Linked DNA regions of Astyanax mexicanus. Each later gene encodes a partner of the first gene's protein in a complex. Links are inferred from orthologs where the notes say so. Each region holds a gene or a part of one and is shown on either strand. Other genes may lie near its edges. The genes, in order: nfs1, fdx2 and LYR motif-containing protein 4.

Region 1 (10,550 bases):
TGTGGAAGAACACGTTCTTGGACCTACATATTGTACCTATAACAGAGAACAGGAGAGTCAGCGTACTGTAGTGCTCTGGGTTTTGTGGATTTTAGTGATAGTCATTATGTGCAGTTGACAGTTAAGGAGGATTACCAATCTCTTTAATTGGCTGTTTGACTCCGATCTCGTTGTTGACAGTCATCACCGAAACCAGGCTGGTATCTGGACGTATCGTTTCCACGAGTTGCTGAAAAATTGTGGGAAAATGGAACAATATGAAAATTGACAATGTGGAAATGTTTTCCTGACTTTGACATTAGAGTCAGGTGATATAGTGGTAATACAGTTTACAGCATAAAAGTATTAAGACATAACGGTATCTCCAAATGAGGACTAGTTGCTGATTCAAGACTACCAATTACATCAAAGTTTACATAAACTATCAATTTTCTAACTGCTTCCGCTGCTGTCACCAGAATATACTTTTTTTTTTTTTTCTGCTACGACATTTCTGTAAATCTGCTTTATAACAATCATCAGTTGTAAAAAGCGCTAGATAAACATGATTTGATTTTACAAACATGTATCTCAAAACGGCTGCTATGTTAGGCTCCTTGCATGAAGTATGTTTCTAGTAGGGGTGTAACGGTACATGCATTCTTTAGGAACCGCCACGGTATGGGGGTCACGGTTCGTTTTGTGCAGACGCATGGAGAATAGATGGACGCAGGCAGTTTATAGGAGAATTGTTGAACCACAGGAGTGTTGCACCCAGAAAGTGTAGCTGTAGCACTGTTGCTATTAGCAACTCGCTACTGACTTAGCTTAGCCTGTCCTGAGAAGTTAACTTCTAACTTCAACCCAACTACTTATCCCCACTGCTTCTAAGCAGCTTCTAGATGTGAAATCAGACAGGTCCCGAGCTATTATACTTTAGCAAGTGACATGTTCACTTCTTTGGCTATGCTCCCTTATGCAGTGATAGAGAACCCTGGTTTTAAATATTTAATAAAAGTGCTCAAGCCCTGTTACATCATCACATCCCAAAAAAAAAAAAAAAAACACAAGCGAGAAGCTATACAGAAGGCCCAGCGTGAGACATTTTAGCTGCATAGCGAAGCGGACTCGAGCCTAGCCATTTTAACCTAGCCTTGCCTAGCCTAGCTGGCTACGTGCCTGTGTGGTTACATCATCACGCACTGACGTAGCCCAGCTACGGGGGCTGAATGTGTTCAGCTCTGCGGCGAGCTGACGCCAGTAAAAAAACGCCTGTCCGTGACAGATTCTGTAAATAATACATATCGATATGCCACAAAACTGATATCAACATTTCTTATCGCGATAAATACCGATATCGAATTATTATCCAGGCCTAGCCCAGCCTCTTTATTTCTTCTACCGAACCGTGGGATAATACCAAGATGTGAACCGAACCGAGAATTTCTGTATTATTACACTCCTAGTTTCAGGTCCTACTTTTGACAGGCAATGAATCGTACCTGTAGATCAATTAATCCATTGCTTTTAACAGGCAAGTATGTTACATCAAAGCCCTCAGATTCCAGAACACGACAGGAGTCCAGCACACACTTGTGCTCCGTCTGTGTGGTGATGACATGCTTCTTCCTCGCCTTATAGAACCGTGCCACACCCTGGAGATCATTAAAAAAATATGTAAGCTAACACAAAATGCTAAATCCCAAACCTAAAATAGTTTCTCATAGTAGTCTAAGCATATCTAATACTATGCTTCTGTTCTTGCTAGCAAGCACAGAAATACTTACTTTGATTGACATATTGTTGGACTCTGTGGCGCCGCTGGTGAACACAATCTCTCGTGGATCGGCCCCAATAAGATCAGCTACTTGCTGGAAGTGGAAATAAACACTGGCATTCACATAAACAATGCATTTTTGTCTTAACCCAAATATTTTGTTTTGGATTCTGCAAGTAAATCGTAGCCATTATTCCAGAACATCATGTGACGCCGAGACAAAGACGTAACTCTTTGCACAATTATTTGCAGGAGCGGCCAAGACAAACATTCATTCTGATGGAGGAAAGAACACAACAATCTTACTTTTCTCGCTTTTTCCATTGCAGTCTCGCTTTCCCAGCCGTAAGCGTGTGTCCTCGAGTGCGGATTGCCGTAGTAGTTCACTTGGTAGGGAAGCATGGCGTCCAGAACTCGAGGATCCTGTACAGGCAAATAAAGTCTTACTCCTTTATTGTTTTTACTGAAATTAGTTATTAAATTAGTTTATCCTGCTTTTGTTTGAGTAACTGTCTCTCTTGTCCAGAGAAGACTTTCTACTAGATTCTTTAAACATAGTTTTAAGGACGTGGTTTATTCAATTTTACAGCCTCAACCCTAACCATAGCCATAACTAAAACGAACACCTTTAAGTCGGTGTTGTGTCAAAATCAGCACCCCCTCCATGTAAAGCACCCTCTCTTTGGAGTGCGTCTTCTTGATAAATGTGGAGATAGACAGCTTAAACTTACCTAGTCAAAGTCAAGGTTATCTCAGTCATGGTTACATACATAGCAACATAGCCCACGCTCCCGAGAGAGGGTGCTTTTCCTGAAGTTTGTTTACAGGAACGTCGCATCTTGTTCATACTGCATGCATACCATGCTCAAGTTCAAGTGAAGCGTTCCCTGCCTGGGCACGGTTTAGAATGATCACACTAGTCAATCGAGCCGTAGTTTGGGAGGTAACCGCTCCTTGGCACGGCAAGGATTGCTGAGTGTGAGGACACACTAAGACTTTATCACAACTAACTTTGTATATTAGCTGTAAAAGCGTGACATAAAGATCTGGACATATGATTAAATTACCATTGGTGTTGTTGCCTGGAAGTCCATATAGAGCGGCCGAAGCTCATCTTTCTCCAGCTCTCTACTCTTAATCAGCTCTGTGGAGAAAAAGAGAGTGGTTGACCAAACATCAGATATTCTGATACAGCAGAATATGATAAAATACTCCTAAATAAGCAAAAACCAGGAACTAGAACATTATCGGTTACACAAAATATAACAATCATTAGTCAACCTTAGAACTGAGTTTAATTAGGCCTGAGTTTAGTCAATCTTAAGCCTGAGTATAGTTAAGCCTGAGTTTAGGTAACACTAGGCCTGAGTTTAGTTACGCCTGAATTTAGTTAGGCCTAGGGTTGAGTTTAGTTTGGCCTGAGTTTAGGTAAACCTAGGCTTGAGTTGACTTAAGCTTGAGTTTAGTTAGGCCAGAGTTTAGTCAACCTGAGGTCTGAGTTTAGTTAAACCTAAGGTTGAGTTTAGTTATGCCTGAGTTTAGTTAAGCCTGAGTTTAGTCAACCTTAGGCCTGAGTTCAGTTAAGCCTAGGCTTGAGTTTACTTAAGCATGAGTTTAGTTAGGCCTGAGTTGAGACAACCCTAGGGCGGAGTTTGTTGAGGCTGAGTTTAGTTAGGCCTGAGTTTAGTTAAGCCTGCGTTTAGGCGACCTTAGGCCTGAGATTAGTTAAACCTGAGTTTAGTCAAACTTAGGCCTGAGATTAGTTAGGCCTTGGTTTAGGCAACCCTAGGACTGAGTTTAGTCAGGCCTGAGTTTAGTCAACCCTAGGCCAGAGTTTAGTTAGGCCTGGGTTTAGGCAACCCTAGGACTGAGTTTAGCCTAAGTTTAGTTAGAACTGAATTTAGATAACGAAAGGACTGAGTTTAGCTAGGTCCGAGTTTAGTTAGAACGGAGTTTAGTTAGAACTGAGTTTAGTTAACGCTAGGACTGAGTTTAGTTAACGCTAGGACTGAGTTTAGTTAACGCTAGGACTGAGTTTAGTTAACGCTAGGACTGAGTTTACTAGGTACTGAGTTAAGTACTGAGTTTAGTTAGGACTGAGTTTAGATAACGACAGGACTGAGTTTAGCTAGGTCCGAGTTTAGTTAGAACAGAGTTTGGTTAACGCTAGTACTGAGTTAAGTTAGCAACATTTCTGTCCAAGAAGGAGAATCCACTGACAACAACACTGGCAGAACTGGCAAAGTCCCTGCTGTTCAAAAACTTCGATGCACAACATAAAGCCAATGTTTACGCCTTCTTAATTGATTAATAACCTATATCTGATACTTAATACAATACATTCAAAGTTGAAAGTAATGTAATTAAATTTCTTTTTTTTACTTGCTTTACTTATTTATTTATTTGTGTTTTTTTTATTGGAAATGTAACTTATGTAGTGAATTTAAAAATATAAAACTTATCTAAACAAGGAAACCAATTAGTCATTCATTATCAAGTGAAATGTCTAGTTTTCGCGTGTATTTTTAATTGCTCTTTAAGCAAGCAACTATGTTTTATCCGATAACTTAATTAATCAAATGGAGTAACTAAGTTACTCGATTACTAAAATAATCGATAGCTGCAGCACTAATTAGGACGGAATTAAGGTAACCTTAAAACTGAATTTAGTTACTATTAAGACTAAGTTTAGTTAACACTAGGACTGGGTTTAGTTTAGACTGAGCTAAAACAGCTGACAATGGTGTAGAACACTTATCTTAGCCAGGTTAAATAAAAACAAACGCAGAAGCTAAGCTAATTTAGCTAGCAAGCTAGGCTAGTTAACTGACGGTGACATTAGTTACCTAACCTAATTGGCTACAGTGACCGTTACTGAGCTAGGCTAACGAGGCTAACTAACTTAGGCTAGCGATTTAAGCTCAGGATTTCATTAGTTAGCAAGGTGGCTAACCTAAGTTAGTTAACTAACTCCAACTGAGGCTCGCGGAGTAACTTAGCTGAAGTGCGTCATGAGGACAGAGAGAGAGCTTAAAGCTACTGGGAGGATTTTATAATAATTAAGAACTTCATAACTAGCTCTTTGGATAAATAACTAACTGGCCTCGCCAGGTCACCAACCTCTGCCTCTCTGCGCGGCCGGAGCGGAGGCTGGAGCCCCCGGGCAGTTCAGGCGGGCGCTGGTAGAAACGCCGCGTATGGAGCCCAGAAGCTTCCTCGTGACGCTCCTGCTCATCATCTTTTCAAAACACCGGTTTATTCCTCTAGTAAAAGTACTGAACTGCTCCGCGGAGCGATAAATAACCCCGTATCAGTAATCTCCCGCAGCAGGAAGGGGCTGAACCCCGCGGTAACAGCGGCTCTAATCCACACCGCTCCGGTACTGAGGGACGAACCACCACACCACCAACCTCACTCACACACAGCGGCGCTTACACAACACGCTGCTGACCTCTGAGGGGCGGGGCGATGATCAGCCGAGTACCTGATTGGACAAATGTTTACAGTGTAGGCGGGATTTAAAAGGTGAACGAAATGTAATTGGTTCGAGGCGGGACTTCTCCGCAGGAAATCTGAAATATCAGTCAAAAGAATTTCCGATTTTGATGAACAAATTGTTAATATGTTTTTGTGTTTATCTAACCAGGAGGTCGCACACAGCAATTCAAATAATAATAATAATAATAATACGTGGGTTTATAATGTGGGTTTATAACAACTTTCTGAGGGATCTGGTAGTCTTAGTAAATATACTTTTTTCCAACATGTTAACCTTTACTATCAGTTTTTTTGTATTATTCATTTGCTGTGTTGCCAGTTCCTCAATAAAACATTAAATAATAATAATAATAATAATAACAACAATAATAATAATAATAATAATAATAATTAAACATATTTACAAAGTGTATCTAAAATATTCTAAAAATGTATTATTATAATAATACAAATAATAATAATAATAATATATAAAATCCCTTTCAAATATTCTAAAATATATTGATAATAATAAAAAAAATAATAATAATACAAATAATAATAACAATGACAATAAAATGACAATAAGTGCCTTTCAAATATTCTAAGAATATAATGGTAATAATAATAATAATAATAATAATAATAATAATAAAAATAATAATAATAATAATAATAATCATTATTATTATTATTATTATTATTATTATTAGTAGTAGTAGTAGTAGTATTATTACTATTGGGACAAACATATAAATGACAAACATCAGACATACCATATAGATGACAAGAACAAATAACAGTACATAGACAAGAACCAAGAAGAGTTAAGTTGGAAAAGAAAACTTTTTTTAATTTTATTTTTTCCAAATATTTGACCCAACAAAATTAACAACAAATAATCACAGTAAAATCGATTGATTAACATTATCCAAAATATAAAGTAAACTACATGAAATTATCAAACAAACCAGAATATGTTTTATATTTTTAAATCTTCAAAATTCACTCTTGTTTAGATGACAGCTTTGCACGTCGGCTGGATTTTCTCAGTCATCTTTATGGGGTAGAATATGCGCTTTCAGTTAACAGCTGTGCTGAATTCGTCAAGAGTTATTTACTTGCATTTTTTGCTTCTTAATGTGTTTGAGAGCATCAGTTGTTGTGTTGTGAAGAGGTAGAGTTGATATACAGTGAATAGTCCTATTTGAGTTGTATTCTAATCCATATTATAGCAAAAACTACTCAGCTACGTAAAGAAAAAATACTTTAGCAAATGAAGGTCAATCCGAAAAATTTCAAGAACTTTAAAAGTATCCTCTAGTGCAATCGCAAAGATCATCAAAAACTTTATGATGAAACTGGTTCTCATTAGGACCGCCCCATGAAAGGAAGAGCAGAAAGTAACTCTGTTGCACAGGATAGGTTCCTTAAGTTTAAGTTGATTTCTTATGTGTTCCTTCATAGTATGAATAACTTCAGTATTCATTTAGAATGAAGGAAATAAGAAAAGAGAAACATTGAATGAGTCAATGTGTCCAAACTTTTGACTGGTACTGTATTTCACCCATTTTTCTTTAAATGTGATCATAAAGGGTGTTTATCTTTGTACAGTAAAACCATGGAATTACAATACATGTACCTGACTCAAAAACTTTCTGTAATCAAAACAGGCCAATTATCAATTATACTTTTTAGCAATAAATTAATGAACAACTGAGTCAACATGGTTTACAAACTCATATCTAGGCCACTATGTTCAGTGTACAAACCTTAACATCACAAGTTTCCATATATATATATATATATATTTAAATTTCTCATTAATCATTATAGACTGCAAAGTAAGCAGGTCTTACTGATTAGCACACTGAAGCTAGCTATGAAGCAGGTCCAAGGTCAAAGCAGTTAGCAGAAGTTAGTGTTAAAAATAGAACTGAAACATGGGTCAAGTGTGGCAGTGTGTTTGGACTGTCTACCTCACACTTGAGGCAGATGCACAGGCTGCTACAGGAGAGAAAAGTAGGGCTCTGTCGGATTTAGAGAATGAAAACTGTGCCACTCCTCTGATCCGCCTTGCTGTGGCAGTTCAAGCTTTGGATCAGGCAAACCCAGACATGTGGGGAAAGTTACTGAGCCTTACACAAGACCTAGCTGGAATTTCAAATTTCAAATATACAGCACCCCAAACACATTCTTTACCCAAATTTATAATAATCTAGATCTTTACATAAAGAAAGAGGAAAACTGTTTTTAATTTACAATACAGAACAATGGTTTGGAAATGCCACACTCAGTATTTCATTTGTATTATTTTCTGTAGTAAACAAAACAAATATATACACAAGGTGTCAATCGATTTAAAATCATACATTTAAATCACTGTAGAATTATGTGATTCACAAAATTGTGTAAATCATGATTATTCCAACCTTTTTTCTTTATTATCAAAAGTCTAGGTTTTTGATAATGGGTATTTAAACGTGAAGTAAAGAATCAGTGTTAGAAACACTTCGATTTGTATTACTGGTATCATGAATAAAGTTATGACTACATTGTTTAATTGCTGTTTTTTAACTGTATTTTTGGGAAGGGGCAGTAATAATAGTGTAGTGTGATTTACACCTGGCAGAAAATATCCTTTTTTCTGAATTATTTCATCTCAGGGTAGATTTGCTGTATTACATCTCAGGGTAGTTTTGATGCTTTTTAAACCAGAATATTGTAATGCACCGAGTTACTAAGTTTAACTGAGGGTTTTATTGAAGAAAATAAACGCTGGTGTAGATCCATGTTCCACCTTCAACATCTTAAAAAAGGAAACATGTCATCAGCTGTGTGTGTTAACAGAGATTGTTTGCATGACTAAACAAGTGTGTGAAAGAGAGCAAAACTTTAACATAAATAAAAGGCAAAGTTAATGTGTTAAAGTTTACAGATTAGCTGAACACATTAACAAGTTAATGTTGTAAGGCAAAGTTGGAGAGCAGTAAGGAAAAGCAGTAACAAGTATTTTGGAACCTCATCACTGCTCTAAAACATGTCCAGCTGATTTCACATACTCTCTCTTGAAAGTAGAGACGACATTCTCTTCTTATCCCGCAACTCTCTTTACACTTATGTTTTCTTTTAAAACAGAAAGCACTCTTCGTTTCTCAAGATTGCTAGATTTTAACTAAACAGGTTGCAAACACCTCACACTTTTTTCAGCATCATGGCTTTATTTGAAATGAACTTTTCAAGGACTTTACAAAATCAAATCTGCATTAGAAAAACAAGATGCTTTGAAACCAGTCTCTACGAACATACAGGCTCTCATCACCTACTTAGTTCCCACAGCTCACAGAGCCCAAAACACAGATTTTGTAGATATTTAGCCAATCTGCAGGATTTTCAATTCATTCAAAAAGACTCAACATTTTAGTTTTGAGAGGCTAACTGTACATTTCCTTAAGTGGAACTCATGCCAATCAATCACCACAATGATTGATCAATCACAAAGACAATATATGTTGAGGAAAACAAAATTTGAAACCTGTATCAACAAAGTTCAAAAGCCCCCTCTGAACCCCGACCAACCCCCCAAAAACAAACAAAAAAAAAAACTGTACAAACAAACCAACCACAACTCCTTTCTCTGATGCCCAAAAAACATATGGGCACATTAAGATGAAACTTAAACCTCTTGAACTCCAGTTCGAAAAGAAACTGTCATAGCTTGCAGGACTGGAATATGAATATTTTACCCAAAGAGTTAAAAAGAGAAAGGCTGAAAATAAAAATAGCTCCAGGGATGAGGGAAAGGATCACCGGCGAATTGGCATGAGGAGTTGTGTTGCTTGCACCGACTCAGGGAAGAGATTGTGGTATGTTGGCAGAGGGACGTATGCAGCTTTGATCATTTTACCTGAGAAAACAAACATAAAATGAGAATTATAAATCAGACTGCCAGATAATGTAAGTACAGACTTGTCTTTTTTTACCGTCATTGTTTTAGAAGTTCACTTCCACCAGGTCCAGCTGCCTTGCACCGTGCCTGAGCACCACAATGCAGACTTTGTGGATGCAGCATGGCAGACATCCATTTTTGTACATGTTCATCATTCTGCAAATACTTATTATTGCTAACACTTTTAATGCTTGTCCTTGTTCTGCTTCAAATATTCATAATACTATTAACCACTGATACCTTTTTTATTCCTACTAAAGTGAATAATGGTAAGTTTTCTTTTACTCATTATCTCAAATTTTAAACTATTAACACAATAACCAGTGTATTTGGAAAGCTCTCTACTGTGTATTATAAACAACCCTGTCATCCCCCATATACTGTTCTTCCTCTTTCATTCTTTCAGAAGGAGTTCATTACAAAAGTATGTGATGCTGACAAACACGCAAACTGAGCAGGTATAGTGAGGTATAGCCAAATAGTGAGTAATAGGATAGTTTAATGTTTAAGGTGTCAAAATCTAAATTGGGACACTTCACATCATATTAGACATCCTTTACAGCTGCGTGTTTTAGAAGGCTTTTAATTCAAGAGTTTCTGCACTAACTGTCTTTATATAAAAGTGCTTCTCAATCCTGATCCTGGCAACCCCCCTTAACTGCACACAAAAATGATTTCTGCTCCCAACACACCTGATCAACTAATCAGCTCATTAATAAGAGCTTTTAGAGTGGCAGGGCTGAGTAAAGCAGAGGCATTCTGGAAAATGTGCAGGGTATGGGAGGTGACAGGGCCAGGATTGAGAAACAGAGGGAGAGCTATAAAGAGAACAAGAGCACAAGAGAGAGAGAAAGAGCACCTGAGAATCTACAGCACAGCGACTGAGTGTTGCCAATTTGGACAAAAATCGAAGCATGGATGAAAGTAGTGAATGGCTTAATAGGTAGCTTGCTGGGTTAGCATCCTTGCTAACTGGCCAGAGTGACAAAGTACAAGTGTACTAGGTGGTCAAAGCGCATGCCCATTACACAAAATGTGTACATGTTTGCAGGTCTGCTTTTAGAGCTGAAAGATTTTTTGGGGCTCAGTACAGATCACCCTACTATACATAAAGAAAGACAAAGATAACACATACCTCCAAACCAACGGCCATGTAATGCACTAACCGCTGCCATTGCAGCAGGGATTGTCGGACACTTCACATATACATTCCCCTAGAAACAAAGAGACTTCATGTTAGAAATTGCTATTAAATTAAACTGCCCAGAATCTAATAGCACTTTTGACTTCCAGTCTCTGGTTAAACTCCCTCAAAAAAAATCATGAGTACATACCTCTGCAGATTTCTTGTCTACATATATATGAATG
Region 2 (11,139 bases), on another chromosome or scaffold:
ACAGCCTCTAGTTTACCTTTACACATATGAATGATTGTCCTGAAACAGAATTGTGCGTCTGACCGCTGTGCGTAACATGGAATGTCTCCTTCACAAAGGCTGACACGTCTGGAACTGTAGGGCTCTAGACCAAAGCGTTTACAATTCTAGAATGGAACTCTGACTCTAGAACTTCCCAGTTAAGTCCCCACATTCCAGCTGAGCAAAAGACATCACATAGTCTACTTCCTGTAAAGCATTAGACCTTCAGAGCCTTTCATCAGTAGATACTAGAGAGTATTCCTGACCACACATCGCTGGAAATTAGGTCAAGTGTACTTTTCATTTAAAATCAGATAGTGCTCATTGAGGAGACACTACCCTATGAGTATGGACTCTTTTAACGCACTCGTGGAGGGAAAAAATACTAAATCAGATCGAGACTTTAGTGCAGGTTCTCCACAGCGCTCTTCACACCTTTATAAAAGGGAGACTCTCAGTCTTCTAGTGAAAAGACTCCTCCCACATTCACCTTCACCCCTGTCCATTGCCCTCTTTTGTCAATCCATCCATATCAGTGTGGTTTGGGCACATGACCATCCACATAGAAGTTTCGTGTGACCTTGGGGAGAGTAAGCTCCATGCCATCCAGCTCTGGGGTCAAAATGATCTGGCAACCCAGGCGTGAGTTCTCCTGCAGCATGGGGGCCATGTCCAACATGTCATCCTCCCTTTAGGGTTTAAGAGAAGTTATGAATACATGTCTATAACGTATGTAGGCCAACAGTAGACATAACAGTACCAGTTCTGGGGGGGTATTCACAAACCATCTAAAATATCCTAAATCACACCTGACACACCAATTATAATTAGGTAGAATTAGGTAGAATAATTAGGTAATCAATATATATAGGGATTTAATTTATAGCCATTTATGTAGCAAGTGTTCTCCCCCAAAGTGTGGAAGTGTGGGGGGGTCTAAACTAGTGGTAAGGACTAACGATTAACTAAACTAACTAAAGGTAAACCAACTAACCTAATCTTTAAGTACAAGGTTAGGTCAGTTAGGTTAGTGTACCTGCCCCTCACAAAACATATAATATTAAATCATTTCCCTCCATAAATAAATTATATTGTCTAATATGTGTTGTCTCAAATGGTTGATTTGGTTCTTCTTAGCTGTCTTTAGGACTTTAGAATTGTTACCTTTCTTCAGGGTCTGGTAGTTTATCAAAATACTCCTCATGTACATAAACATGACACGTAGAGCAGGCCAAGGATGCCTCACAGGCCCCTGAAAACAAAGCAAATTAACAAGTTAATAATCCTGATTAGTTAATAATAATACTAATTACACAACACCAAATGCTGCACACAAAGTAGGTAATACTTTCAGTAGGGACAGATATGGACAATAACATTAAAAGGTCTTCTATGCTTTACTGGCTGCCACTAAGAGCAGGATCCTACAATACAGCATGTCTGATGGTATGTTAATATACTAAGGTTACACAATATTATGGTTTGGAATAGAGTATGAATAATTATGAATAGTTCACATGCAAAACTGATCACAGATCAATTACGTATGTTAAAAATGTTCTGATTCTCGGATGCCAGGGTCCTACAGAAACATTGACTCACATCACTATACTTTTGGCAAAAACAGGTGTAATTTACAACAAAACAGGAAAAAAAAAACACACTTTGTAAAATCTGTGAAACAGTTGGCAAGTTATGTCTAGGATTTCTCAGGACCCTTAAACATTAAGTGTATTGTCTTTGGAAGGTTCAATGCAATTCTATTCCCGAGCACACATATGTTATTATGTAACAATCTCCAGTTTAAGACCGGTATAAACAAGAACTTACCTTCAAGTTCAATGCCTTGTCTTTGCGCAAGATACAAGACATTGTCTCCAACTTTACCCTTTACCGGAATCTTCTGTCCAGACCGATCAATGAACACCACGTTAACACTACAACAAGAGACGTGGGGTAGAAAAGAACATAGGTAAGTAAATAATACAAAAAAAAAACAAAATAAGTAAATACAAATATTTGTTCAAAATAAATGAATAAATGCTGAATAAACATTAAATATTACATGTCATGGGAATTTTGATGCATGCGAATAGTTATTTGTTTGGGGAGCACATCAAAGTGTCAAAAACCTTGCATCTCCATTTTTGCAGTTTTTCACTTAGGGAAAATATTTAAACTGTGTCACTACTGCATGCTAATTTAACCAATAAAAAACGCTTTCAATGGAATAAAATCATTTTACACTTATATGTTTAAAGTCCAGAGTTCTACCATCCCTCTAATATTTCCATTTTTGGATAAACACAAGGTTTTCGCTCCTCAGCAACCATAGATCTGGTGGACATGTACATAGGAAACCTAATATAAAGTTAAAGGGAGGGTAACATAAGTAACATACACATCCTCATCGGTGTCCTCCACGTTCGAGCTGCCCTCCTCACTCTGACGTAGATCTGAAATAATAAACCACAGTGAACAGTTTAGTGAGAACCTCTGCAATGAGTCTAACAAAGACACTCATCTGCTTAACTGCACTGGACTGGACTTTTCCTGCTCTCTTAGCAAAGCTCTTGTAATGAGATTTCCCTGACAGTCCAAAACAAGTTTAACTTGACCAACTAAAGACCAAGCTGCTGAGTAATGCCTGCAAGTACAGCCTGTTACAAGTAGTAACCAAAACCAAAAATATTCCTTAAAAAAAAAAAAAAAAAAAAACTAAATGGGAAGTAGCAAAGTACAAATACTCCTTTAACTTACTTAAGTCGATTTTTTTGTTTAGAATTTGTCTTCACTGGAGTAATTATATTTCAGACGATTTTAAAATGTTTGAGTAAAATTAACATTGTTGCTTTATTCTATAAACTACGCACATCATTTCTCCAAAATTCCAAATAATTTTTTTTTGACATTTATAAAATATATTTGTAGAAATTGAGAAATGGCTGAAATAATAAAAAAGACCTCAAATAATGCAAAGAAAACAAGCTCATATTTAATAAGTTTTAAGAGTTCAGAAATCAATATTTGGTGGAATAACCCTGTCTTTGTTTTTTTTTTTTTTTTTTGCATCTTGGCATGTTCTTCTCCACCAGTATTACACACTGCTTTTGGATAACTTTATGCCACTTCTGGTGCAAAAATTCAAGCAGTTCAGCTTGGTTTGATGGCTTGTGATCATCCATCTTCCTCTTGAATATATCCCAGAGGTTTTCAAATTGATAAAATTAAAGAAACTCATATTTTTAAATGGTCTCATTTTTTTCAGTGCTGTATTTGCATTGTATTAGAATACACTCATTTTCAATTAGCATATACACATCTGAAACAGGGAGCCTAGTGCATCCAATTTTTTTCTTGAGTAAAAAGCTTGAGTTGATACTTCAACTTCTACGGAAGTATTTACACCTTAGTATCCTTTTCTACCTGAGTAATAAATGTAAATACTTTTGAAACCTTTGTAAAAACAACGTCATTAATGAGGAGTTTTTCCTCAATACTCGCGTGGCTGGAGGTACAGCCTCCACTTTTCTGACAGAACTTTGCTGTGAGGATCTGATGGCATTCAGGTACTGAATTTGAATGAACTCTAACTCATTCCAAGAGTAACGTTAGAGGATGGAGCTTTATCAGACCAGAGAATGCAGTTCCAATGCTCCACAACTCCTCTAGGTCCCTCTACCAAGCCTGGAATTCAGCACAATGACTTTAGACTTATGTGAGTCTAATCATCAAGATTATTCAAGCTGTCTGAAGGGTAATGAAGCGTTTGGATACTTTTGAATTAGGAATTTAGACGTAAATAACAGCCATCAAACTCAACCTGTAACATATTTCTGAAACTCAGTAACACCAGACAGTAATTGAAGGTGCTAAACTAGAATAAACACAAATAAAAACGATAATAATTCAGTATCAGCGTGTTAGTTAGAGCTCAGTTCAGACACCCTAAGTTCTCTGATGTTATAAAACCCGCGGTTTGACTTTGGGAGCTCGGATACACTCACTAATGGAGGTCTGCAGCTTTCTGTTGGGGGCTGAGTAGAGCTCCATGGCTCGTCTCCCTCTGGTGGGACCCAGCACGGCTCCGCTGCACATGTTGAGGCGGTAAAACGGACAGACGCTGCAGTCCGGGGCCACTTTACCGAGCCGCACACTCAGAGCACGGACCGCAGCGGCGGCCGCCATGACACTGCTGTCGTCACATGGTCCGCAGTAGCCAATCAGAAAAGAAGACGGAGGAGTGACGTAGCTCTCGTCGGTGTGCAGGTTTATTAAACACAAGTTCAGCTCTGTTTTTATTTTAAGGTCATTATTAATATTTGGTATTAATTTATTATTTTTATTTTATTCTAAATTCACTGTCATTTTTGGTCAGAATGACTATTAAGACATTACATTGCATTACATTACATTGCATTTGGCAGACGCTTTTGTCCAAAGCGACTTACAATAATGAAGTACAAAAGTAATAGGAATTAAGATAAACCATTTTAGATAGGGCTCAAAGGAGGTCGAAGGGAAATAAAGGGATAGAGAAGTGAAGGAGGGGAAGAAGGAAATGGGGTTAGAATTATTATGATTATTTTCTTTTTTTTAATTTTATATATTAAGTTTTTTTTTTTTTAGGTAAAACGTTAAATGAGAAAGATTAAGGATAAAATATCAAGTAACAGAAGTTTAGAACAAACTGGTAGACCACTGAAAACTTGTTGAGGGAGAAAAAGAGGAATAAAATGATCTCCACTATTGCTACAGATCTGTAATTAATGATTGATGAGTTTAATAAAGATAAGATCTCCTATTTAACTAAGTTTCAGTGTTGGTGGGTCCTTAACCACCCTACAATGGTCGTTGTGTAATTTGGCCGCATGAGGGCGCTATAGGACAAATGATACGCATGTAAAGGGTTACTCAAGGTAAACTGCTAAGAGAAATGTGTCAAAGTCATGACCAGAAGATGAGTATTTTTCCTCTTTTTACACACAGTATTGTAAATAACACGACAGATGTGATGATATACAGCATCCCAATCACTGCCATGTAGTTACCAGCCATAATAGAACCCTCTTTACCTGCTCATCTGCCTAAATAACACACAGGTCAGCTGGTAAACTCTCGGATGCAAATAACATTTGCACATAGGCTTTCTAATCTGGCTAGCCATCTCCTGTGCACCCTATAGTAGAGCATTGTGTCTGCATGCTGGCTTCCTGAAAGAGATCACAACAAGTTCTTTTGTCTTTACACAACCAACTTAAACAAAGCCTTCCTCTGGCCTTTATGTCGCAATACTAAAGCTAACACTTTAACACTTAACTTTAACCTTAACGGAGCTCATAGAATGTCAAACAGTATTTATTTTGACATATTTGAATACTAAACATTTGGGAAATGAAAGCTCAAACAATGTTACATAGCAGTCTTGAATCATTATATTTACACCCCCAATATTTACGTAAACCCAACATACTACAGAAAACTCTACTCAAAGCAGTAGAGTACTCAAAACAGTAAAATGAGATGAAAACTTTGCCAGTACATAATGTTGTTGATACTGGAGAGAAGCCTATCACCTCCAGAATTGGTTCGCCAAGACGTGAAAGCCAATGTGGAGCTAAGCTAAAAGCTAATACTAGCTAATGCCATCCTTTACCATATCTTCTCTTCATTGTCCACTCACCTGAAAAAAAAAAAAAACTACAGTTAAACAAACACTGGTGTGACTGGTTAGCATGCTGGCTATTCTACCTAGCAAGCAATATATCATTATTTTATTGTATTGTGATAGAACCTCTTATAAGCATATCGAGGCACTGGAGGCTCTAGTGGTGGGGCCACAAGGGCATTGGCCCCAGCTGAAATCTGATTGCCCCCCTGAAAAGCCTCTGTCCAAAATACACAAAAATTTAAAAACAAATAAAGAAAAGACTGGCAAAATCCAAACTGAAATCATTTTCCAATAAAATTTAAAAATATATGTTTGATATATGTTACATGTTTAGAATTTGCAACATTGTTTCTTCATGTGATAATATTTTTAACCAGATCATGCAGCTCTAGCAGTGTGTAATTATGTAAACCAAGGGTGGTGGCTTTCATGCTGGTCATATCAATATTTGAATCATTTGTATCATATCGACCGAAATTAAGAAATATATTGTGATATAGATTTTTGCAATATCATCCAGCCCTAAAGCTACCTATTGCTTTATTTTTCTCAATTTTTCTGTCTTCTTCAGAACCACATTGCTGAGTATGTACAGTAGAAATCAAACGTTCAGAAAGCAGAAGGCTGGCCAATCGGTTTAGAATGTCGCTTCACCTCGTCATCATTTATTTATATAAAGGTAAGAAAATCTCTATATGTCACAGCTACAAGTCATGTCCTCCCATAAAAACGACCGGTTTCTCTGTTGGTAAAAGCATTAAATAGGTTTGTTGAACATTTTTCAACTTAAACAAAGTCAAATACATTATTATTTATATATATATATATATATATATATATATATATATATATATATATATATATATATATATATATATATATATATATATATATATATATATATTTGCCACATTTACAATAGAATGCTTAAAAAATATTTTCTGGATTAAAATAGGCCTAAATGCACAGGTCTTCTACTTTATTTAATAACTATTGTGTTAATATTTACCATTTAGGCTAATATATATTATGTGTGATTTGACTGTCATCACAAAAATATGCTGAGCTTCTCATTCTGTGCCATAGGCGAACAAGTGTAATCAAGTGGAAATCATGCAGTGACACATCTGTTATCAACCACCACTTTCCTTTTCCAGTTCTGTACATCAGTCATACAATATTATTCTCAGAAGAGCTTCACACATTCTGACTTCCAAAAAAATTTCCAAAAAGTGACATAATAATTTGACTTTTTGATCGAATTTCAAATCCCATGTTTTGCTAACTACTTCTAAAGTATATCACAATTATTCTATTTATTTATTGAATAAAAAAACATGTAGAAAATATGAAAAGTAGAAAGTCTTGTAAAAAGCCTTATTTAATTTGTTCACTCCAGTGAGTTAAAGAAACTAAGTAAAAAATAAAAAAACTTTATTATATACAAATTCAGTCTTATGTAAAGTATATATAAACATGTTCCTGTAAGTTACTGTAAAATGATTTTTAAGCTAAAAGCCATTTTCAGACATTTCTAGCTTCTATATTCACCATGAACTTTTACAAAATATAAAAAATAACTGCTGTGTTATATATTATAATAATACACATAAATAAAAATGGGCATATATATGATAAGATCTTTAAAATATTTGAAAGCATAAACTAAACATATAACAAAAACAACTGAATTCATAAAAAGAACTAATAGTTGAAAGTAATATAGTAATGTGTTTCTAATCTTTAAATCAGGCAGAAAAATAAACACTGAAATATGGGCATGCATGATAATTCAATTCAATTTTATTTATATAGCATTTGAATAACATGATTAAATAGCATCATTACAGTAATTTAAAAGCATAAATGTATATGTACATATACTGCAATTTAAAACAACTTAATTCAAAATTAGAACTACTAGTGGGAAGTAATGTGATACGTAATGTGTTTCTAATTATCTTTGGAAAACACCTGTAGTTTATTTTAGTAGGTCTGTTTAGTTCATGTTTCCACTCTGGTATTTTGATAAGATCACACTTGAGAACGACAATCCAGCCGGAACAGAAAGCCACATGTGTAATGTGTCTGAAGTGTGAAGTGATGTGTGATGTGCAGTGGTATCATTTGTGGAATTGTTGTGAAAATGCACAAACCAAAGTGGGTTTAGAACATTTTGAGTTTTTTAACAAAGTCCTTGTAGTATCTTGGTTTATATCTTTGATGATCTGGTTTCAGTGGCACCTGTGAAGGAATAAGACAACAAGTGAAGAAACAGTCACTGTTTTGAAGTTGATGTGCTGGAAGCAGAACAAATAGGCCAGTATAAGAATCAGAGACATTTGGCTTATATATACCTGTACATTTACATTTATTCTGTTTATTGTTTTCTGTCTGTGCACCTTGTGTTTTGTCTTTTGCCTTTGCCCCCATATTATTTTATCATATGTTTTTATCAATATGTTATAAATATTTAATTGTGCTTTTTATAACTGATTAACTGTTTAATTTAAATCATTTCATTGTTTATTTTTTTATTTTTTATTCTGCCCAAAAAAAGAGTAAAATCAGATCAGCCAGCCTGTATCAAACAGAGTTAGATCTGTTCACTGCTTTTAATGGATTATGTTGACAGATTTATAAAATTTAATTAAAAAAAGAATTAAATTATTTAAATTAACAAGTAATCAGAAACAAAAAGCACAGTTAAACAACAATATCATGGATTATATAGCATTATTTAAGCTTCAATAACTAAATCTGATTTTAATTTTTAATTTACCATTTTATCTTTAAACTCAGTAATTTTGAAGTTTATGGACTCTCTTTTCCTGCTCTTTTTGTGGATCTGTTTATTAAAGTTTGTTCAATTCATTTTTCAGTGTTATTATTTTTCCAAAGGGATTATTGTCTGATTTTTGCTCCCATTTATTGAATTCTATTAATGTTACATATTCTTTTACACTCAAAGTATATTAATATTATTATATCAACAACACAGCTACAGTTGATACAATCATTTCATTTATTTATTTTTTTTAATGATTTTAATCCTCAAATCTTGACCAAAACATTGGCCTGCAGCTTGAAAACCACTGATGTAGAGCACCTAAACAGAGGCTGCATTCACTGGCAGAAATATTTTTTATTATTAGTGAAAGTTAGTATACATTCTACACAATGACTAGCATGCGGTACAGTAGCACATCTACAGTAGAATTTTTTTTTGGATCACTGCTCTGACTTCTTGACAAGTCAAAGAGTCAAGGTGAGAACACGCTTCAGATTTAGGTTTAGATAAAAGATCTCAGTCTCAGTAGAGAGATAAACAGCAGGATCTCAGTGGTAAAGACTGCGAGGGTGCGGAGGAGCACCATCAGAGCAAAGCTGTCTTCATGCAGGGAGCAAGAATTACAGCAGCTAAGAGCCGTTCATCTGCTGACCACGTGTTAACCAGCTCTCTCAGACTTCAGCCAGACTACACAGCTTCTTCATCACACACAAACACAGACAGCCTGATACAGTTCCTGCCCACAGCGGGCTCTTCATCTCCACCTACCTGAGTTCTCTCACCACTGTAACCTGACGAGTCGGGGCTGACGGGTTTTGATAGGCAAAGTGTAAAGTGCAAATTAGGTCAGAACTTTCCCAGCACTCAGGATCTTCACCAGCTGATTAAAACCATAAAACCATGTAATAAAAACAATAAAACCATATAATTAAAACTGTTTAGTACTCCTTAATACACACACATCTTATACAGTGCCTGTAGAGCAATACTGCCCATACAATATGACTCTTTGAAGCAGATAAAAATTTAGCTACTGGCACCATGTCTAGTAATTTTGGGATGAGTTGAGGTGGTGATCCTCCAGCATTCTTATGCTCTAACAACTGAATTCAATCTAATCTCACAACAATGCTCCAAAACCTAGTAGAAAATGCACAATAAAGACAGCTAATCCAGTAGTATAATGGATATATAAAAATACAATAATAAAACAGTAAATGTTCTGCTTTTTTTATATTTTTTATTCATTTTAACAGTATGAAACCCTGTGCATTTTATTTTTTTTTGTAAATATCACATAATTATTTTTTATTACATAATTATTATTTATTCTCTATAAACATAATCTGATTTCTCTGCACTTACAGATGAGTGCTGAGCTCTTTGTCTATTATGATAAAAATAATAACATCTGATTTAATCATAAATCTAGTGTTATGTTTCACAGATGTTTTATCGCTCTTTAACCCTGATAGATACGGCTTTCATTATTACATAATCTGGAGCAATGTTAACAAAAAGAATGTGTGTGTGTGCTCTCTCTCTCTCCCTTTTCTTTTTATCTCAAATTTCTGCTTATTTTCTTTCTCTCTCTCTCTCTCTCTCTCTCTCTCTCTCTCTCTCTCCCTCGCTCTCTTGCTTGCAACAATTTGCATGTGGTTTTGCATAGGTTTACCTTGCAGTTCATTTATCAATAAAAAAAAACACATGCCTTTACTAATCCAGTGTATGTGAGAAGAGTGTCATTGTTTGTTTTTACATTTTGAGCTTGTAGTCAATAAAACCTAAGGAAAAAAAACATATATAGATATCATTAACATTAATACCATCAATAATAAAAACAACATTAATTATAGAAATGATTAATAACACATAAAATTACAAACCACACACAAGTAATTGGAACAACCATAGCACATTATATTATTTTCAAAAACAGCAACATTAGCAACACACGCAGCCAAGGCTTCATAGCTATTAAATGCAAACATTTGGGCACCTCTAAAGAAATTAAAAAACGTTTTGCTCATTTTCCAAAGTGAAATAAGTGAACCTTAATTATTCTCTTTTTTATTGCATTTATTTGATTTTATTATGAATGTTATTATTATAGCATTATCATAAATAATATGTTCCCTCCTTCAGCCAGATGTTGAACTTAACATCACATAAAAAATAATTATGTATTATTGTGTACTTTAATGTTATAAGTAAAAAGTAATTAGAGTCTCTGTAGAAGATATGACTTAGGATTTTCAAATCTTTGCATAGCACAGTATTTATAATAATGAATAAAATTATAATAGGCCTAGTATTATCACATTATACTATTATGCTATTAAGATGTATTAGTTTTAAAATGATAATAGTGTGGTAAGGTTCAGTATGGTGGGGTGAAGTGTGGAGTGTGTTGATGAGGTGGCATAATGATACATATTTAAATGAAAGAGGTGCTGTGTGATTTTTACCCAGGGGGAGCTGCCATTTATACAATTTCTTTCTTTTTTTGTCTGTGGAAAATAAAGTGACTAACATGGTATACTGTCTGTGGGCAGTTGGGTTTTTTTCTTGTATTTCTGCCCTTTTCTATGACAAAGATGCTTTAGAGATGCCCTTTCATTTTGGGCCTGATTGTTTTCTTATTCAGTTTGAGTTT
Region 3 (10,756 bases), on another chromosome or scaffold:
AAATTAGTTTTATAAAAATCTGTTTTGCTATTTACTGTAAAGCTTTGAAATATACGTTGTATATTTGTATAGTTTTGCAGTTTATGTGAATGTGCTTAATATTCTGCACTTTGGTTTTATAGTATATTTTCAAAATTAGTCTTGGAAATTATTTACGGAATTGACGTAAAACTGTTATATTTGTCTCCAAAAGTCCCCAAACAGAATTGATTACATATTTACATATTTAATAAATATCAGAACTTTCCACATTTAAACATATTTTGTGAATTTAAAGGGCAGTTCCACAACCAGCTGTTTTATTTATTTTAAAGTGATTGAGGGCATGGAAGAAATAATCATTGGTTAATCAATTAAACAAAAAAATAGATTAGTCAACACAAAAATTATCATTAGCTGCAGACATATTAAAAAAATATTTTAGCATTGAACACTTAGCTAGCATGATAGCTAACGTTGTGTTCTCCATAGATGACACTCAAGTCTGTCTGACTGAAACACTTCTGAACGTTTAGACAAGCATTAAAGGGTCTCAAAAGGCTAACTGAACTGATCCATGGAGGCACCATCTCCCAACTTGCAGGACGTAAAAGATCTACTGTATGCTTATTGCTTGGTGTCAGATATCACATAACACCTTCAGAGGTCTTGATGGCTCAGAGCTCTTTTAGCACAAGGCACAAGGTAGACCTTCTCCATATTAGGCAGGTGGTTTTAATGTGCTGACTGATCTGTGCCCAATTTCCCAAGTTTTCACCCTATGTTGTCAAACGGCTATAGCTTCAGTACATTGAGGTTGTTTGTCCTTGTCTATTTAACTTATAAAAATCTAACTAAGAGCTCGTCAGTGCACTTCAGGTCTGTGCTGATCATAATATAATAGCTCTGCATAGGGAATTACACCATCCAACATCTCTTTTAAAACCATGGGTATTATTTGAGATGGCACAATGCGTTTTATACACCATCAGATGTCTATGATTTATTTTTGCAAGCAGAGTTTTAAATATGTCCAGCGTCTGCTGCATTTTGCTGGTCTTATCCCTGCAGCTGCTCCTAACATGAGTCATCTGCTGCCAGAAGTTTCCCAACTAGCAGTGGCTAAAACACATCAGTATTCAGAGCTGGATGAGGAGCCAATTTGGAAGAAAAAATTAATAAAATAAACCCCTCCAACAACCTCTCATCTCAAACAAGACTGATTGATATTCAAGGACATCTGGGATATCAATTAGAAGTTGTGTGACACTGCATGAGGTCTTTGGATGTGACGCAAAACCAACAAGAGAGTCCGACAGTCGATTTGATCACTGTGAAACTGATGGTGAGTGAACGTTCTTATATATAGATGGGAAAATTAGATATAATAAAGTCAGTGCAGACTGAAAAAGCACATCCAACCCTCCCACAATGAGCAATTATATTATACAAACTACATGTTTGTCCAAATTGACAGCACCTGTTTTACTTAACACTGATTCTTATTCTCAGCTGTCTGTTTCAGTAATCAATTAGCAGAATTGGTAAAATTCCTACTAGGGACGCCTATTAGCATTTCAGGTAAAGGTGCCAGTATCCCATATTTTAATAGATTGGGTACTGCCTATTTAAATCCCAATCCAGTTAGTCTTTACTTTAAACACAGTGTTCAGAACACCATTAGTGGACATTAGGGCTGGCCCGAATAGCGTTTTTTGAGCTCCGGATATTCGGCACTGATTCGCGAATATTCGAATATTCGTTTTTAAAAAAAGAGGTAAAAAAAAAAATTAAAAAAAGCAAATCACGGCCCCTTTAATCCACTGAAAAATGTTCAATTTGCTCTGACCAACGAGACATATTCACCCCGGATTTTTGGTGTTTTTATCCCGGATTTTTGTGTTTTCACCCCATATTTTTTCTGTGTTTTTAGCCCAGATTTCTTGGTGTTTTCATCCCGGAATTTCTGCTGCCCCACACGCGGCTTATCCGCTGCGTAAGCAGGCTAGGAGGCTGCTGCTGCACGGTTTCTCCGCTGCGCAAGCCAGCCCAGTAAATTGCTGTTTGTGTTTTCACACTTAGGTTATTTGCTTAAAAAAAACAAACAAAAAAAACGTTTGTTCAGGAAGTATTTTATATTCTTAAACATTGTTAATTATATTAGAGGACAGTCATTGTAAACTGTACTTGGTCTATTTCGGTTAAAGGATTGTGCAGGGCATATTACTGATTTTGTATTTTTGCACTTGGGCTATAAGCTCAATATTAAATATTTCGTTTGTTTAGAAATTATTTTATATTTTTAAACCATGTTAAATTATATTAGAGTAGAGGAAAGTCATTGTTAATGACGTTATTGTACTTGGTCTATTTCTGTTTAAGGATTGTGCAGGGCATAGCCGTATTACTGATTTTGTATTTTTGCACTTGGGCTATAAGCTCAATATTAAATATTTTGTTTGCTTAGAAATTATTTTATATTTTTAAACCATTTTAAATTATATTAGATAAGAGGAAATTCGTTCAGACATCATTTTTGTAGGCCAGGCTTTTGTAACCGATTTAGCCCCTACTGTTGCCACATTACCCCTTACGTTTTATTATATAAATCAGTTTCGAAGAGCCTGCATTTTTTTTTTATCATGTATAATAGAGGTCTGCGCGAGACTGATTTTTAAACCCACTCTTCCATGCTCCCGCGTTTCTGTCTCGTTACCACTCCGCAAAAAAATTGCTTCTTTTAATCCCGCGCCCGCCCGCCACATACACATTTCTGCCGCTCCCGCCCCACGTTCCTAATATAAATTAAATAAACTACATTTAATGCTTCAAATTTACTTATATATTTATTAAAACAGCAGCGCTGAATAGTGCGGTCCCGTTCCTTACCCCAGTCCAAACACCATCGGTGTGTGCGTGTGTGTGTCGGTCCATCCTGCGCGTTGAGAGTTTTCTTTAGGTTTTTTTTTTTTTTTTACAATTATTACAGTTTTCTTAACTATTTATTAATTTGCTCCCGCATCGTCTGGATTAAACTCCCGCTCCAGCCAATAACAGTTCAGTTCTGTCCCGCGCGCAAGATATTCTGACGGGACCCGCGAGAACAGAAGTGGTTAGAGTGAGGTGGAACTCTGGAAAGGAGAAAAAAAACGAATATCCGAATACCAAAATTAAAAACCGAATACCTACTCAACGAACGAATATCCGAATACCCGAATATTCGGGTCCAGCCCTAGTGGACATTTTTAAGGCCCCATTAATAGACATTACTGCCCAGCACCACTAAACACTGTGCTCAGAACCGAGTTTATTGCTAATGTCCATACACACAGGCTACAAAAACACAAATCACAGCAGATTAACAAGCTGTAAGCCAGTTATTTCACATCAGTATTCAACAAAGAACAACAGATTTCAGTCAAACACATTAAGAGGCAAGAAATTTAAGTAATTAACTCCTGACGAGGTACAGCTGTTAACTGAAAGCCATTCCAAGTGACTCTACCTCATAAAGCTGACTGAAAAAATTCAGCCAAGATATGCAAAGCTGTCATCTACCCAAGACGTGCTACTTAGAAGAATCTAAAATATAAAACATATTCTGGTTTGTTTAATACTTAAATCCATGTGTTTTTCTCCATAGGTCGTATGTAGGGTTGCAGCGGTAACCGGTTTCACGGTATACCATGGTATTAAAATGCACGGTTATCATACCGTGTGTGTTTGCTTATTACCGGTAAAACGCAAGCCAGCGGAGAAACTCACCCGCGCATGCGCAACTCTGCTCCGCTTCAGCTGCTCAGCACACAGCGGTGAGAACAACAGAAAGTGCATCAGACTAAACAAATCTCCGTCCGCCTAAAAAAAGGCTAAACTAAAATCAGCAGTGTGGGACTATTTCGGATACCCGCCGAACGCAGGATGGTTATCCGATTTGTAATCAATGTGGCCGTAAAGTCACAGCTAAAGGTGGACATACGTCAAACCTGTTCTCCCATCTCCGAGAACACCACCCCGCTGTGCAGCGCAAAGTATGTGTTTAGCTTATAATTTTAATCTGAACCTAAATAAAACCTCTTTGTAGTCGTGCACAACCCATGCAGTAAGCGCCCGCAAAAGCGCTGAGTTATCCGAAATTTGGGCACGCAGGTACAGGCGTGAAGTGCGTGCTACGATGGATTCACGTGTCCGTGTAAAGGTCCTGGCCGGACTGGATGTGAAAGACGCCATTCATTTACATGCGTTCATTTTCAAATTCTGACGTGCCTGTTTTTCAAATGTTAAAACCAGACTCGGTGTGAAAGCCTTAAAATAGAAATCTCTATTGTGAGGATCATGTCAGAAATAAATCCCCTCTTTCTGCAGTATCTGGTTATATACCAACTTGGCAGTAAAACGGACGTTTACAACAGTTGTTGATCAGACACTGACCCAGGCTCAGTTTATCAGATATTAAATAATTTAAACTTAAATAATTGTACTGAATAGTTTAAACACAGGATCTTTACTTCTTAGAGGACATGTAATGTGTGTAACGTGTGTGTATGTGTGTATATATATTATATATATTTATATATATTTTTTTTATATACACTCTTAATGCCCTTAAGAGTAGTGGAAAAAAAATTTTTCCTTCACCTGATGGTATACAGCTTATTTTTTTTTAAGGAGACATTAAAATTATAATTGTTCCAGGTTTCTACAATAAATAGTTAATTGAACAAAAAACCTTTGTTGTAATTTCTTTAAGGGTCAGTTTAATAATATATGTAACAAACTGTGATACCGTGATAACCGTGATACCGCGGTATTTTCTGAGACGGTTATCATACCGTGAAAATCTCATACCGTTGCAACCCTAGTCGTATGATTTTAGTATTAATCTACAAAGGATATTGTTTTATACAACTTTTTAAATAATGAAAAAACAAACAGCATATTTAAGGTGTATCCTACTTTTAACTGGTAATATTCATATGTTTACATACTTTCAATGTCAATATATTTCAATAATGCTGAATGCAAAATGCTTTTTAATAATGCTGAAGTGAAAACATTCACTAAACAGTCACATTCACAAACTCCTTCAACACGTGCCGACATGTTCATGCTCTCTCTCTCTCTCTCTCTCTCTCACACTATCTCAGTCTCCCTGTGTCTCTCTCTCACACACACTTTCTCAGGTTCTTTATCTGTCTCTCTCACACACACACTCTCAGTCTCTCTATCTGTCTCTCTCTCTCAGTCTCTCTCTCAGTCTCTCTGTCAATCTCGTGCTCAGTCTCTCTACCTCTGTCTTTCCAGCTCCTACACAGTCTCTCGCTCTCTCACAGTCAGACTCTGTCTCTCCTTCACACACATTCTCTCTCGCAGTCTCTCTCTCCCACACACAGTCTCTCGCTCTCAGTAACTGTCTCTCTTTTGCTCAGACTCTGTCTCTCACTCACACACTTTCTCTCTGTGTCCCTTTCTCTCTCTCTTCACAAAGAGAGATACTGGCCAGGCTAAGCTTGCTGTGTGACTGTCTAGGAAGAACAAATTGAAGGAGGGTGGCTCTCAGGATGCTGGAGACATGCTTAAAACTCTGATAAAGATTAGATTGAAAATTGATTTAGTTTTTTAATGAAGATTATTTGGTCTTGTGCACACAGAAAAATAGAAAAGCCACTTATTTTAGTTTGACCCTTTTTTATTTTTTTTTTGTGTAATGTAAATTTTTAATAGTAAAATAAAGCGTGCCAAAAGTCAAAAGTGTCTCTTTCTCTCTCTCTCTCTCTCTTACTCACACACATTCTCTCTATGTGTGCATCTTTCTGTCTCTCTCTCTCTCTTTCTTTCTCCCTCTCTCTCTCACTCTCTCTCTCCCACTTTCCCTCTCTCTCTCTCTCTCTCTCTCTAACTATATATATATATATATATATATAATATCTCAGTGACAGTAGTGGAGTTTATCAGTCAGTCTGTAAACAGTAAACACAGTAAACACAGCTATAAACACACAGAGAACGGAGCTGAACCCGGGCTGTGCTCTGAACGCGCAGTATAAATGAGCTGTGAGTTTAGAGAAGAAGGAGGAGGTGAATAATATAAATAATAACAGTATTAAGTTAATAAACATGCAGCCCTCAGACTGTCCCACTCACCTCTCTCAGACCCGCCGCCTGTCAGAAACACGCCTCACCTGCGCGCGAGCCTGATCAATATACACACCCGCCCCGCGCTCAGCGCTGTACACTGATTAATATCTGAATTCGCTTTATTTCTACAGCCTGTTTAAACTATAAAACTGTTTATTTGCTCCGCAGTCGGAGCGCGAGAGGCGATAAAGGCGGGTTTTCTGTTCAGGCAGTGTTTTAGTCGCCTTTGTGGGAAAGATGGCGGCGTCCAGTAGAGCGCAGGTGCTGTCTCTGTACCGGAGTCTGCTGAAGGAGAGCAGGGCTTTCCCCTCCTATAACTACAGGTATTTACACAATTTACCCCCTTAATACCCCACCACACACACCTGCCCTGCGCGCGGGGGCTGTGTGAGGTGGGTGTGTAGACTGTAGAGCTGTTGGGAGTCTGGGTTCTTTTCACTGACAACACAACTCACTGTAGTTATCCCCTTTCTGTTAAATAAATCTCCAATAATTTGCTTTAAAACGTGTTTTCTGTGTTTATTATTTATTTCTCGGTTACTTTGTACCTTTAGAAATCTCCAGCTCTTGTTGTGAAACTTTAAAGCCCATATAAGTGTACACGAATCAGTCAGAAGTATATTGTGTAAGCTCATTAGCTAGACTCCTTTAAAGTCCTTCAGGAAAAAAAGAACTATTGAGAAAGTTCATTTATTTGTATAAATTCTTTACAGCCCGTTTTTTTTTTTTTGTAAACCAGCTTTGGTTTGTAAAAACAAACATATGCACAGGGAAAAAACAAACTGGCAAGCTTTAGGAAGAAGCCTAGCCTAGCTCTGGGGGACCCATGCAAACAAAAACTACTAAGGATTGTGTAATAAATGGTAAAACGTCACCTTACCATAACATAAGGCCATTTCTATTTACTGGTGTACTAAAATAACACGTTTAGCAGTAGTAGAAGAAGGTTTAGCAGTATAAGTATCAGTATTATTAGCATTAGCAGTGGTAAAAACTGTACCACTAGCAGTTGTACTAGCATACGTAGGAGCAGTAGTATTAGCAGTATTATTAGCCATACAGTAGTGGTATTAGCAGAAGTAGTAGCAGTATTATTAGCAGTCGTATTCATATTAGTAATAGAAGTACTAACAGAATGGTAGCAGTATGTGTAGCCGTATTATTAGCAGTAGTAACAGTAGAACTATCATTAGTACTAGCAATAATAGTAGAAGTAGCAGCAGTATTTGTATTTTAAAAAAGTGTTTGCTGTAGTAGTAGTAGTAGTAGTAGTAGTATAAGTAACAGTAGTACTATTAGAAGTACTAGCAGTAGTAGCAGTATTATTAGCAGCAGTGACAGTAGAACTAGCATTAGTACTAGCAATAATAGAAGTAGCAGCAATATTTGTATTATAAGCAGTATTTGTTGTAGTAGTAGTAGTAGTAGTAGTAGTAGTAGTAGTGGTAGTAGAAGTAACAGTAGTACTATTAGAAGTACTAGCAGTAGTAGCAGTATTATTAGCAGTAGTGACAGTAGTATTACCATTACTAGCAATAATAGTATAAGTAGCAGCAGTATTTGTATTATTAGCAGTATTTTAGCAGTAGTAACAGTAGTACTATTAGAAGTAGTAGCAGTAGTACTAGCAATAGTAGTAGAAGTAGCAAACATATTTGTATTATTAGCAGTAGTAGTAATAGTTGTACTGGCAGTAGTAGAAGAAACAGTAGTATTAAAAATAGCTGTACTCGTATAAGTAGCAGAACTCACTGTAGTTTATCCCCTTTTTGTTAAGGGAAAACTCCAGTAAATAGGATTAAAACATGTTTTCTATGTTTTTCTAATGAGCACTGTGATTTATTGGTACATTTAGAAATCTTCAACTCTTGTTGGGCAATTTTAAAATCTATAAGAAAACAATTAAACGTATAAAGAATCAGTCAGAGGTCACATACAGTAGCAGATCATTAGCCAGGGGGCCTTAACAGCCCAGACCCTGACCCATTTAGTAGTTAAAGTTGAGGCCAAAGTTGTTTAAAAAATATATATATATATATATATATATTTGTGTTAAAAAAACACTTTAATGTTTCCAAGTTAATCACATGTTAAGATAATATAACCTTGACCGCACTTAATGTAACTGTTTAGGGTGAAACAGAGTTAGAATTCGAAGCCAACTGGATTCCATTTTCAAAAGACGGTACCACATCTATTAATAAATGCCTGGGTCATGCTTTTATTGTGGGTTTTGAGGTGTGTTTAGTATTGTTATTTTGCTGGTGTTTAATTAAATAAATTCTTCCCTGTACTACTGGTTTTAGGTGATTCGATGTGTAGGGCTAGATTAAGAGCTGTGCCTGTATTTAGGCTGCATTTCACTCTTACAGCTTTATTTTGTACCATTGTATCATTGACAGTCTGAGGGCTGTATGCAGACCAGATTAAAATAACAGTTCATGAAGTTCATCAGGTGGCCTCTCTTTCTTACAGTGAGAGATGGGCTGCTGTGTTTTGTTTTTCCCAAAAGTGGGAAAGGGGGACACACCTGTTTCAGTAAAGCAGTTACAAAACTATAGCATATAGCTGCATTAGATTGTAACAGCTTTATTAGTGTCCTTATATTCAGTCTGTACATGTTTATTTTTTATTATGCTGTGGTGATATGGCAACAGGGTCATTGCATCCATGAAGGTCACACCCCACAACGGATTTAAAGGTTCTGCTGTAAAATACATTGTGGTGGCTTGGTCCAGTTTTTTTTTTTAGACTTACCAAAAAATAGACTTACTGCTGGGGGGTGGGCAGATTCATTTTTATATACTAGCAACAGGGATTTGCTTAAACTGCCCAAGTCCTGTGTTTACTTGGCCACAATACCATCCAATTTTGGATTCTTTTTAAACTGAAAAAAAAATAAAAAATAAAATACAAAGTTTAGTTTGTTTACAGACCAATTGAACACATACAGTAAATGTTAAACCAGCAAGCTTACAGAACACACTCCAATCTGTCTGTCTGAAACTCTACTTATAGTAAACTGTTTAGATGAGAATGATGATTGAGCGACTGGACGGAGCAAATATAGAAATTAGCTTTTTATCTAGATAACTTTAGCTACTAGATTAACCCATCTTCAGAGAGATTTGAGGCACACATTTCATATTTCTTTGCCTGAGTGTATAACAACTTAGGTGGACTTTGTTTTTGTTTTTTTTTCTTCGTTTTTTAATATATATACCCCCCCCCCCCCACCACCACCACCTCTTTTCAGAGAGCTACATAAAATTTAGTGGGTGCCCCCTTTCTGGGTCAATCTTAAATGCACAAGAATGAATTAAGTATTTTGGCCTGTAGTAGCGAGACATAGAGCATATGTGATATATCAGTTATTCATGAGTGATATGTATGAACCATCCTTGTTAAAATGTTTTAGTACTGTGCTATACAGTATTACCATTATACCGCAATCAATCAATCAATTAATCAATCAATCAACCTTTATTTAAAGTACATTGAGGGTGGCCCTCATTTACAATGTAGCTGAGCCAATACATAGGGAAGTGATTGTCAAAGAAAAAGAATAAATAAATAAAAAGACCTAGCACTTTAATAAGATATGAAATAAATAAGATAAAAATAATTTAGTAAGAATCATAAAATCATAGGTAAGAAAATCAAAGGTTATAAAAGAGGTAATAATGCAAGAATGGCATTATTCTTGTTTATTTCCTGTGTATAACTTATTGCTTGTTTCTTGACCTAGATAAGAGCTTATGTTGTACCTGCCTGCATGTTTTAGACAATCTTGAATAACAGTTTTCTAAACCCTGAAACGAAAACCTTCTGCGCATGCAGCCTGCCTCAACACATTCAAACGAGGCCCTTAAACATACATTTTTTCGGTGTTCTTGGCAATTAAACCGAACATTTATTTTTATGAATATACTAATGTAACAAAATAATACTGATTAAGAATAATAATAATAATAATAATAATAATAATAATAATAATAATAAAAACAACAATAATAATAACAATAATAATAACAATAACAATAATAAAGTGTATCAAAATAAATTATGTAATATAATGTAACATAAAGACTTACCACAATACAATAAGTGCAAGCTATTTAGTGTGTGCATATATAACTACAAACATTAAAGCTTCACATTAAATAGCAAAGCAATATAAGAGTAAACTGCTGAAATAGACTGCAGAATATGGCTATTATCACAATATGGATATTTATGTATTTTATGATATTTATTTTATTCTGAAATATATATATATATATATATATATATATATATATATATATATATATATATATATATATATATATATATGTGTGTAATATGTAAAATATATTGTGTAACCCTAAATACATAATTGTTGTGTTTCGTTTCTTATTTTGTAATATCTTACTCTTAAATTTATTTTCTTTACAGAAACAGATATTGAAAACACCTACATATGAGTGTAGCTCAAAGCATTGTTGAAATATTAACTGTATTCTTCATTTTTAAATAGAAAATAACATATTATTCAAATGACGAGTGATCCCAAACTTTTGAGCAGTGGAGTAAATGGCTAATCCGACGGAAAACACTTAATTAGAGCTCAGCCTCAGTCTGAACTTTGCTTCAGTGTG

The links.
Region 2: the proteins of nfs1 (region 1) and fdx2 are in contact, whole or in part, in a cryo-EM structure (PDB 8RMC), measured with the Homo sapiens proteins. The link is inferred for Astyanax mexicanus from reciprocal best matches to the Homo sapiens genes NFS1 and FDX2. Residues at the interface, in NP_066923.3 of Homo sapiens: Gln153, Lys157, Leu160, Asp161, Arg164, Ala168, Tyr175, Ala384, Ser385, Leu386, Glu387, Pro388, Tyr390, Arg393, Gln456, His457; in NP_001384335.1 of Homo sapiens: Ala104, Cys105, Glu106, Ala110, Cys111, Pro141, Leu142, Ile169, Thr170, Arg171, Asn172, Phe173, Tyr174, Val175, Asp176, His178, Lys181.
Region 3: the proteins of nfs1 (region 1) and LYR motif-containing protein 4 are in contact, whole or in part, in a crystal structure (PDB 6W1D), measured with the Homo sapiens proteins. The link is inferred for Astyanax mexicanus from reciprocal best matches to the Homo sapiens genes NFS1 and LYRM4. Residues at the interface, in NP_066923.3 of Homo sapiens: Leu56, Arg57, Pro58, Leu59, Pro68, Leu69, Pro71, Arg72, Leu74, Asp75, Leu78, Glu314, Tyr317, Arg321, Asp372, Arg412, Phe413, Thr414, Thr415, Glu417, Glu418, Tyr421; in NP_065141.3 of Homo sapiens: Phe23, Tyr26, Asn27, Tyr28, Thr30, Tyr31, Arg34, Arg35, Asp38, Val65, Arg68, Gln69, Ile72, Thr78, Asp79, Lys80, Leu81, Ile82, Ile83, Asn85.

Annotation. Positions count from the first base shown.
Region 1 is NC_064431.1:18,138,795-18,149,344, forward strand, and holds the start of nfs1 (cysteine desulfurase, mitochondrial), read right to left. Parts: upstream 5,202-10,550; 5' UTR 4,995-5,201; coding exon 4,877-4,994; intron 2,901-4,876; coding exon 2,824-2,900; intron 2,180-2,823; coding exon 2,063-2,179; intron 1,851-2,062; coding exon 1,767-1,850; intron 1,635-1,766; coding exon 1,482-1,634; intron 230-1,481; coding exon 136-229; intron 37-135; coding exon 1-36. Other genes in the region: rbm39a (RNA-binding protein 39a), read right to left, coding at 9,040-9,140, 10,318-10,396, 10,517-10,550.
Region 2 is NC_064412.1:31,743,915-31,755,053, forward strand, and holds the start of fdx2 (ferredoxin-2, mitochondrial), read right to left. Parts: upstream 4,238-11,139; 5' UTR 4,210-4,237; coding exon 4,029-4,209; intron 2,478-4,028; coding exon 2,423-2,477; intron 1,959-2,422; coding exon 1,852-1,958; intron 1,274-1,851; coding exon 1,186-1,273; intron 711-1,185; coding exon 554-710; 3' UTR 1-553. UniProt on the Homo sapiens protein: Electron donor, of the core iron-sulfur cluster (ISC) assembly complex, that acts to reduce the persulfide into sulfide during [2Fe-2S] clusters assembly on the scaffolding protein ISCU.
Region 3 is NC_064413.1:47,012,864-47,023,619, forward strand, and holds the start of LYR motif-containing protein 4, read left to right. Parts: upstream 1-6,242; 5' UTR 6,243-6,353; coding exon 6,354-6,439; intron 6,440-10,756.